Callithrix jacchus: one gene and its partner. The protein of the gene in region 1 binds, or shares a complex with, the protein of each later gene. Links are inferred from orthologs where the notes say so. Each region holds a gene or a part of one and is shown in the gene's direction. Other genes may lie near its edges.

Region 1 (3,987 bases):
CACCTCCCAGGCTCAAATGATTCTCAGGCCTCAGCCTCCTGGGTAGCTGGGATCACAGACACGTGCCCAACTAATTTTTAATTTTTTGTAGAGACAAGGTCTCATTATGCTGCCCAGGCTGATCTCAAACTCCTGAGCTCAAGCGATCCTCCCACCTCAGCCTCTTAAAGTGCTTGGATTACAGGAGTGATCCTCTTACCTCTCTTGATCCAGATGTTCTTGCGGTATTTGGAGGGCATGCTCACAAGGAAACGCTGCCCTTGGGCTGTCTCCACCTCATGCAGATTGTTCCCTGGAGTCCTGAGTACCTGGTTCAGGAGAGACCAGGAATCAGCCTCATCAGTCAGATCAAACACCCTCTCAGACACACTGCACCCTACCCCTGCCCCAGGGGCCCTACAGCGGTTGGGGGGGAGCAGAGCAGCTTGTGCCCAAAGCCACTCACCCGAACAATCTGCTGCCGGTCAGAGGGCACCATGTGCTCCCCCAGCACCTCCTTCACCACATGCTTCCTCTTGGTGGCCTGAGACATGCTTAAGTTGTCCCAGGGTACTTAGAGATGCAGAGACTGTCAATTCCTCCTCCTGAGTTCCTTGGACGGCAGGCTCAGAACCCAGGACTATTCTGAAGATGGGGTGGAGCTTTTTACTGAGGAGTGACACAGTGTCTTGGTTAAGAATATGGGCTCTGAAGTCTTAACTGCCTGGATTCAAATTCTACCTTGGTTCATTTCCTAACTATTCAACTTCTCTAGGTCCCAGAAAAAATAACAGCTAACTCAGCATTGTTACAGAATGGGACAACACAGTGCATGTTATATAAAAGTAACTCCTGCAATCATAACTACTGGTATAACATAAAACTATACACATGCTCCAGAGAAATCACCCTGGCAACCTCTCTGGAAGGAGTCTGAGATAAACCATATCTTTCTCAACACGTTTGTACACCCCAAGTCTAGCACAATCACACAACAGAGAAGTTCAGTCTGGCAACACACTACAGCCGGAGACAAATTAGGTGGCCACCGCGACGGTCCAAGCCAGGAACTAGTTAACGAAAGGTGGAGGTGAGCAGGCTTGCCTGCGACATTTGCATGTTTGACTTTCTTACTTAGAAGACGAGGGCCAGACTGACGGTTTCCGAAGGAAACATCGATATGTCATATCTAGTTGCCGTCCTCCTTCCTCCTCCCCGTCTATCCCGGAGAAAAGACCCTCGGAAAAAGACCCACACTTAAGTCTGTGGCCCTCGGCTCCCAGGAACGCTGCCTGAGCAACCCCGCTGTCCAGGCCGGACGCTGAGAGAATTGTCCGCGACTCACTTGAAGGCTGAGCCAAGAAAACACAGTAAAGGAACTTGCTGACGGCCGCGACGGTAGCGTGAGCTTAAATCCAGGTCTCCAATGTTTTCAGTTCCCTCCAGTCCCACTGCTAGGAGGGTGACGTGAGTTTGAGTCGGATCTCTTCGAAAAACTGTACTTCCGGCGCTGTCTCGGAAGCCTCCCGGCCACCCGTCCCCTCCCTTGTCCGTTCTTCCAACTCTTCCCCACGCCAGTCGGTCAAGCCTAAGTCCTTGAGTTCCGGGTCCGGGCAGCAGAGAAAGAAAATCCTTTCTCTGGAGGCCTTTCTTCCTCGAGTAGCGGGACCTTACAAGGCAGCAGGACTTCCCGCGAAGGACCGGAAAGGAGGACCTACTACAGAGGCCGTCGAGGTCCGGGACGCCTCAACTCTATAGCCCTAACTGGCTAGAAGTGCCCAACGTGGAGGGTTTTTTTTTTTTTTTTTTTTTAAAGGACGCTCTTGAGGCGACCCGGAAGCGGAAGTGGAAGAAAGTTCTAGTGGCTTGAGGTATCGGCGGGAGCGGCCGGGTGGCGGGAGGAACCGTTACGGGAACTGAAGCTGCCGGTGAGCGTCAGCTGCAGAGCAGGGCCCTGGCTAGAGGCCAGATGGGTTGCGAGGAGAATGGGATGAGAGGGGCCGCAGGCGCTGGGGTGGGCCCTTGGGGAGAGCTTAGCCGCGCTGCGGGGAGGGGGCGGGGCGCGGCGCGTGGGAGCCGGCCCGCGGGAGGGGGCGGGCCGCGGCGCCGCGCGATGGGGGCGGAGCTGGGGCGCGGCTTGAACCCCGCGGGCTGGAGGCGAGTGTGCGGAGCGCTCGATTTGCGCTTCGCTCTGTGGGTAGAGAGACCCTTTGGTTAACTTTCCATGCCAAGTGACCGGTCCAGACAGGGTCAGTGCCTTCTTGGCTCAGCCAAGGTCACAGAAGGAGTGACAGCTTCTGGGCGGCCCTGGCTACTGACTCTGGGAATCTTTCCACTTACCCGTTTGCGCCACCTGTTAGGCAGGATCGTTTTTCCTCTGGGCAAGATCAAAATCCAGGTCCTGCAGGAAGAAACTTCTCTTCAGAATAGTAGGGAAGGCTCCCTGGACCTCAGTTTTCTCCTTTTTTGATGAGGGATATCGAGCAAGCCACCATAATGCCTGGCTTAGCTTCCTCTTACTATGAGATTGCTAGTGGGCCCTTAGGAGTTCCAGGTCTTCAACCCTAACGTGTCTTTTTTTGGGATTTCTAGATTAAGCCTGATCAAGATGACAACCTCCCAAAAGCACCGAGACTTCGTGGCAGAGCCCATGGGGGAAAAGCCAGTGGGGAGCCTGGCCGGGATTGGTGAAGTCCTGGGCAAGAAGCTGGAGGAAAGGGGCTTTGACAAGGTGTGGGGTGGCAGCGTGTACCTGGCACAGGCTGGGAGTGGGAGGGAAGTGAGTCCATCTGCTGTGGGGTGGGCGGTGGGGCATAATCTGAAGAGACTGCCAGAGCCTGGGCACCTGGTAGAGAGGAGATGGGGGCAAAACCCGCCCTGCTTCCTGGGCTTGTGTGCTCTGAATGGCACGGGAATGACCGATTTACTCTTATCCCTCACTGAACACTGAGCAGTATGCCCCTTCCTTTTCTCTGTCTCTCAGGCCTATGTTGTCCTTGGCCAGTTTTTGGTGCTAAAGAAAGATGAAGACCTCTTCCGGGAATGGCTGAAGGACACTTGTGGTGCCAATGCCAAGCAGTCCCGGGACTGCTTTGGATGCCTTCGAGAGTGGTGTGATGCCTTCTTGTGATACTCTCTGGGAAGCTCTCAATCCCCAGCCCTCATCCAGAGTTTGCAGCCGATTAGGGACTCCTCCCCTGTCCGCTACAGAGGAAAAGATTGCTATTGTCGTACTCACCTCCGATGTACTCCAGGGTCTTTGGGAGTTTCCTCCCCTAACCATTTCAACTTTTTTGGATTCTCGCTCTTGCATGCCTCCCTCTTCCTTTTTCCCTTGCCAGTTCCCTGATGACAGTTACTGGCTTTCCTGAATGGATTCCTGGCCCTATCCCTCACCCCCACCCTCACTTTCAGTCCGTTTGATACCATTTGGCTCCTTTTTTGGCAGAACAGTCACTGTCGTTGTAAAGTTTTTTAGATCAATAAAGTCAGTGGCTTTCATGACTGGGCTTTGTGCATTGAAAAGCAAGTGGGCTGGGAGTTGCCTCTCCTCCAGGGACTGACCACGTCTCCCCCTCTCCTTATCAGTACAGACCGAAACCGGCAGCTTCCCTTCCACTCCCAGAGGGCAGCCACCCTAGCCATGTAGATCTCAGGCAGGTGACTTGGAGTGTCTCAATCCCCAAGTGATGTGGGAGAGAGTGTGGGTGGATCTTTTCCTGGGAGCCAGATGGACTGTGCTCCACATGTCAGTTAAGTCAACAGCTGGGCTAGGCAGCACCTGGTGGAAAAGTCAGTGGGAGTCAGAGGTACTTGACAGAGGGTGGACCGGATGCGGGTGCGAGTTCACCTACCAGTCATCATATCTGCTTTCCCGGCCTCTGGCAAGGGTAGGTAGGGGGCTTGCCATCTTCCCTGATCTCTTAGGGAGGAGAAAGAGCACAGGCATTACAGCTGGAAGCATGAGAAGGAAGTACACCTCAGTGCATTTTAGCCCTTTCTATTTGT
Region 2 (4,281 bases), on another chromosome or scaffold:
TGGCCAACATGGTGAAACCCCATTTCTACTAAAAGTACAAAAAGTAGCCAGGTGTGGTGGCATGTGATTGTACTCCCAGCTACTAGGGAGGCTGAGACAGGAGAATCACTTGAACCTGGGAGGTGGAGGCTACAGAGACTCAAGATTGCGGCTCTGCACTCCAGCTTGGGTGACAGAGCGAGACTCTCTCAAAAAAAAAAAAAAAAAAAAAAAAAAAGAATATCACCTCTTCTCCATTCTCCGTAGGGCAGCCCTTATCTGATCAAGGTCCTGGGAATCCTAGCCACAGTCCAGGCTCCTGAGCAGGCCTTGGCAGCCCTTCCATAGCTCGACACCCACGTCTGCCCCCTGCCGGGCTATGCTGGGCTCAGGGGCCATTCCGACAGAAGAGGAAGCCCCACTTCAGCTCCCGCCAGTGCCCCGGGTGAATGAACGACATGAAGCGTTAGGCTGGACACACGTCATCTCTGCACACATCGCACAGCGCCCTCTGTCCGCGCTCACTGGCGTGCTCGCTGGCTTGCCCGGGCCCCTTCGAAGGCTGCTTGCTCCTGGAGTGCCGGCGGCCTCCTGGCCCAGTGCCCCATTTCCTCCCGGGTGGAGCGAGGTAGGAGAAAAGGAAGGAGGGAGGCGGTGGGAAGCAGCGAGCATATGTGCACGGGCGACAGCCCTGCAGACTGGGAAGGTGGGCCCGTGGCAGGGGGTCTGCGAGGACCGCGTAGGCGCGGGCCTTGCCCCACAGCCGCTTCCCAGGTGATGCGCACACAAAGCTCCCTCAGTAGTGCCTAGCCCGGGGCCGGCGCTCCCTTAGGGTTCAGACCCTTCCCGCCGCTGCTGGGGCGGCCGACCCGGATGCGGCCGGGGAATCCTACGCCCTGGGGCCACGGGAAAGGGGACCAGGGCGTAGAGAAGGGATGTGCTGGGACGGTGGGGAGCCCAAGTGACTTAGGGACCAGAGCCACCGCTAGCGCCCACTTAGGCCGCTCTCACTTCCCGGCCGGCAGATGCCGGGTGTTAGACACACAGGCCCCGCCCCTCTCTACCGACTGGCTCACGCACGCCTCAAGGTGACGTCTAGGCTCCCAGCCGCACCGCCCAGACTCCCGTGCGGGCCCCACCCCCAACAGCTCCGGGCGTTAGTGACGTACGGACTCGCGACCCCGCTCGCTCCCACCGCGACACCTTCTGCTCCGCTCCCGCGCGGGCCCCGCCCCCTCCATCGCTAGCCAATCCGTGTGTTTGTGACGTTGGGCTTGCGGCCCCGCCCACTCCCACCGCGAGACTGATTCCCACTGTCCTGACTCTCGGCGCGGGCCCCGCCCCGTCCGCCGCTAGCCAATCCGTGCGTTTATGACGTTTGGACTCACTGCCCCAGCCTCCCAGCTCCCAAGGCCCGGCCGTTCTGCGCCTGCTGCTCCCGCCGTTAAGCCCCTCCCCGCACAGCGCGCGCAGCCTGCGGAGCCCGAGGCCGTGACGAGACAGTGATTTGGCTGTGACGCGAGCGCGATCGCTCCCGAGGCGCTCGTGCCGCCCCCGCCGTGATCCTCGGCAGCCGCTGCTCGGCGGGTTTTGGCAGGGGCCCGGCTTCCGCCCGCGCCCGCACCCGCCATGGACGACTACGCGGGTCTTTCGGATACCGAGCTGGCCGCCGTGCTGCGCCAGTACAACATACCTCACGGGCCAGTTGTCGGTACGCGGCGGCGGGCAGGACCTGCCCCCGGGCCCCCTCCCCGCGCTCTGCCCCGCGCCCTCCCCGCCACCCTACCCGCGCGCCTTCCCCGGCTTGTGGCCCTGACCGCCTCGTGTCCGGCCAGGGTCTACTCGTAAGCTTTACGAGAAGAAGATCTTCGAGTACGAGACCCAGAGGCGGCGGCTCTCGCCCCCCAGCTCGTCCGCCGCCTCCTTCTCCTATCGCTTCTCTGGTGAGAGCCTCGCTTGTGGGGACCGGGCCTGGGATGCGGGGAGATCGGGGTCGCGAGGGTGTGGCAGGGGCGCCGGTCGAGAGCGGCACCGGGGAGAGGGGAGGGAAGCCTGGGGGGCAAACAGTTCTGTCGCCTCCCTTCAATCCAGACTTGAATTCGCCGTCAGTGGATTCAGATATGTATGATCTTCCCAAGAAAGAGGACGCCTTACTCTACCAGAGCAAGGGTAAGGCAGGGGTGGGGTGGGCACGCTGGCACGTTCACCTGACTGCGTCAGGGACCCCGCTCACAGGGAGGACCTGAGACCTCAGCCCCAACCACTCCAGCAGCCTTAGGAGGGAGAAACTGTCACAGGTCCCGAAAGAGATTCAGATTAGGGCCAGCAGGCCAGGTGGGGCACACCGATGCCCCCTCTGCTACCGCTGCCCCCCTTCCCAAGGCTACAATGACGACTACTATGAAGAGAGCTACTTAACTACCAGGACTTATGGGGAGCCCGACTCTGCGGGCCAGTCCAGGGGCTTCCGCCAGTCTGCGACTTCACTCCCAGATGCTGACACTTTCCACCACCAGGTGAGCTGGCTGGCAGGTGCCCTGTACTTGAGTACAATCTAGGGGATGGCGGCTGTGTTTGGATAAATCCAGGGGGCCACTGGATACAAATGGTGGCTTCTGTGCTTCTGGGGAGACTGGCTCAGCAGACGCCTGTTTGGCCAGGTCCCTACTTTGGGGAGCCATCAGAACTGTGACTAGAGCACCCTGGTCTGCAATCTAGGCTCAAGCTTTTCCTGAGACTCCTGGGGGCAAAAGGGAATAGCAGGGCATGAGCACAAGTGACAAGACCCCACAAACAAAAGACTGAACACCAAGAGCCATTCGGGAGGGTGTGGGTCCCTGGCCTCTAACCAAAGGTCAGAGGGCACCAGCTGGGGAAGTTTGGACTGAGGGATGTGGCAGGGCCATGGTGGCCCTGCCAGTCGGTCCACTCACCCTGACTCTCTTCTGCAGGTGCGTGATGACAATCTTTTGTCTTCTGAAGAGGAGTGCAAGGATAGGTACGTAGAGGGCAGGCCCAGGAACAGGGACTGGTTCTGCACCCAGGCTCCTGGCCCACCTGCTCCCCTCTTTTGCCTCAGGGAACGTCCCATGTACGGCCGGGACAGTGCCTACCAGAGCATCGCGCACTACCGCCCTGTTTCAGCCTCCAGGAGCTCCCTGGGCCTATCCTATTATCCTACCTCCTCCTCCACCTCTTCTGTGTCCTCATCTTCATCTTCCCCTTCATGGCTTACCCGCCGAGCCATCCGGCCAGAAAAGCATGCTCCTGGGGCTGGGCTTGGCCATGATCGCCAGGTCCCGCTCTGGGGCCAGCTGCTGCTTTTCCTGGTCTTTGCGATCTTCCTCTTCTTTGTTTACTACTTCATGCAGGCGGAGGAAGGCAACCCCTTCTGGAGGGAGCCCTGAGGGTCTGGGCTTCAGAGCCAGCTCTTCTGGGGAAGTCCTGGCTGATGGCCTTAGCAGTGAGGGTGGGGGTGGGGGTGGGGGTGGGGGCTTTTGTGTGTGTTCTCGCTTGGGGGGCGCTGGCCCAGCCCAGAGTAGTGCTTGCTCCCCTGCCTTGTCCCACCAGGGAGGCAGCAGACTCAAGCCCTCCATGATCTGGGGGACCTGGGTGTGCTTTCCTCTCTAGCCTCCTGGCCCTGCTTGCCTGTAACCCTTAGGGTCCAGGAGGGCAAGGCCTCGCTCCATCAGAGAACATGGTTATTGTTGTTGTCATGCATGCCTCCTTTTAGTTGTCATCTTGAGGGGATTAACCAAAGGCCACCATGACTTTGTTTTCGTGGACACACAATAAAAACCCCATTTATTTTTAATGTGTTGACTCTTCCTGGAGGAGAGGGTTGGGTTCCCATGGCAAGGGCATCTGGCCTTGCTGGGTCTGCATTTTGGCTTTGGTCTGGGGATAGGAATCAATTGCTACCCAGAAATGTTTGTGTTTTGTTTGGGAGTTTTATTCCCTGACTCATTCCCCAAAGCACGTGTAACTGCTTATACATATAATTGTGGTACAACAAGGTATATACAGAGAACCCACTTGGAAATTCAGGCAAAGCTGCATGCACGCCACCAGCAGTCTGCGGGTGTTTTAACTGGAAAAAGCTGAAGTCCACCCGATTGTCCAAAGGCATGGGGACAGAAAGAAGATGAGGCGTCTCATTGGCAGATCATCCTTGGCTCCTGGAACTGCTGCTTGTTTACCATGGGAGAAAAGCTCCAAAGGCCGCATCATCCCTGGGTGGTAGAATTCACCTGCCTATATTCTCACTTAACTCCCAGATTTTCTGCCCTGGGTATGTATTTC

Evidence for each region.
Region 2: the proteins of BANF1 (region 1) and EMD are in contact, whole or in part, in a crystal structure (PDB 7NDY), measured with the Homo sapiens proteins. The link is inferred for Callithrix jacchus from reciprocal best matches to the Homo sapiens genes BANF1 and EMD. Residues at the interface, in NP_001137457.1 of Homo sapiens: Arg37, Phe39, Gln48, Val51, Leu52, Lys53, Asp55, Leu58, Glu61, Trp62, Asp65; in NP_000108.1 of Homo sapiens: Pro22, His23, Gly24, Pro25, Val27, Ser29, Thr30, Arg32, Leu33, Tyr34, Lys36, Lys37, Glu40.

What each region holds. Positions count from the first base shown.
Region 1 is NC_133511.1:123,078,827-123,082,813, forward strand, and holds BANF1 (barrier-to-autointegration factor), read left to right. Parts: upstream 1-1,402; 5' UTR 1,403-1,907; intron 1,908-2,100; exon of another isoform or gene 2,101-2,228; intron 2,229-2,571; 5' UTR 2,572-2,587; coding exon 2,588-2,710; intron 2,711-2,962; coding exon 2,963-3,109; 3' UTR 3,110-3,480; downstream 3,481-3,987. Other genes in the region: putative RNA-binding protein EIF1AD, read right to left, coding at 200-308, 446-532. UniProt on the Homo sapiens protein: Non-specific DNA-binding protein that plays key roles in mitotic nuclear reassembly, chromatin organization, DNA damage response, gene expression and intrinsic immunity against foreign DNA.
Region 2 is NC_133524.1:150,171,619-150,175,899, forward strand, and holds EMD (emerin), read left to right. Parts: upstream 1-1,475; 5' UTR 1,476-1,608; coding exon 1,609-1,690; intron 1,691-1,814; coding exon 1,815-1,922; intron 1,923-2,070; coding exon 2,071-2,148; intron 2,149-2,361; coding exon 2,362-2,495; intron 2,496-2,930; coding exon 2,931-2,977; intron 2,978-3,058; coding exon 3,059-3,386; 3' UTR 3,387-3,793; downstream 3,794-4,281. UniProt on the Homo sapiens protein: Stabilizes and promotes the formation of a nuclear actin cortical network. Stimulates actin polymerization in vitro by binding and stabilizing the pointed end of growing filaments. Inhibits beta-catenin activity by preventing its accumulation in the nucleus.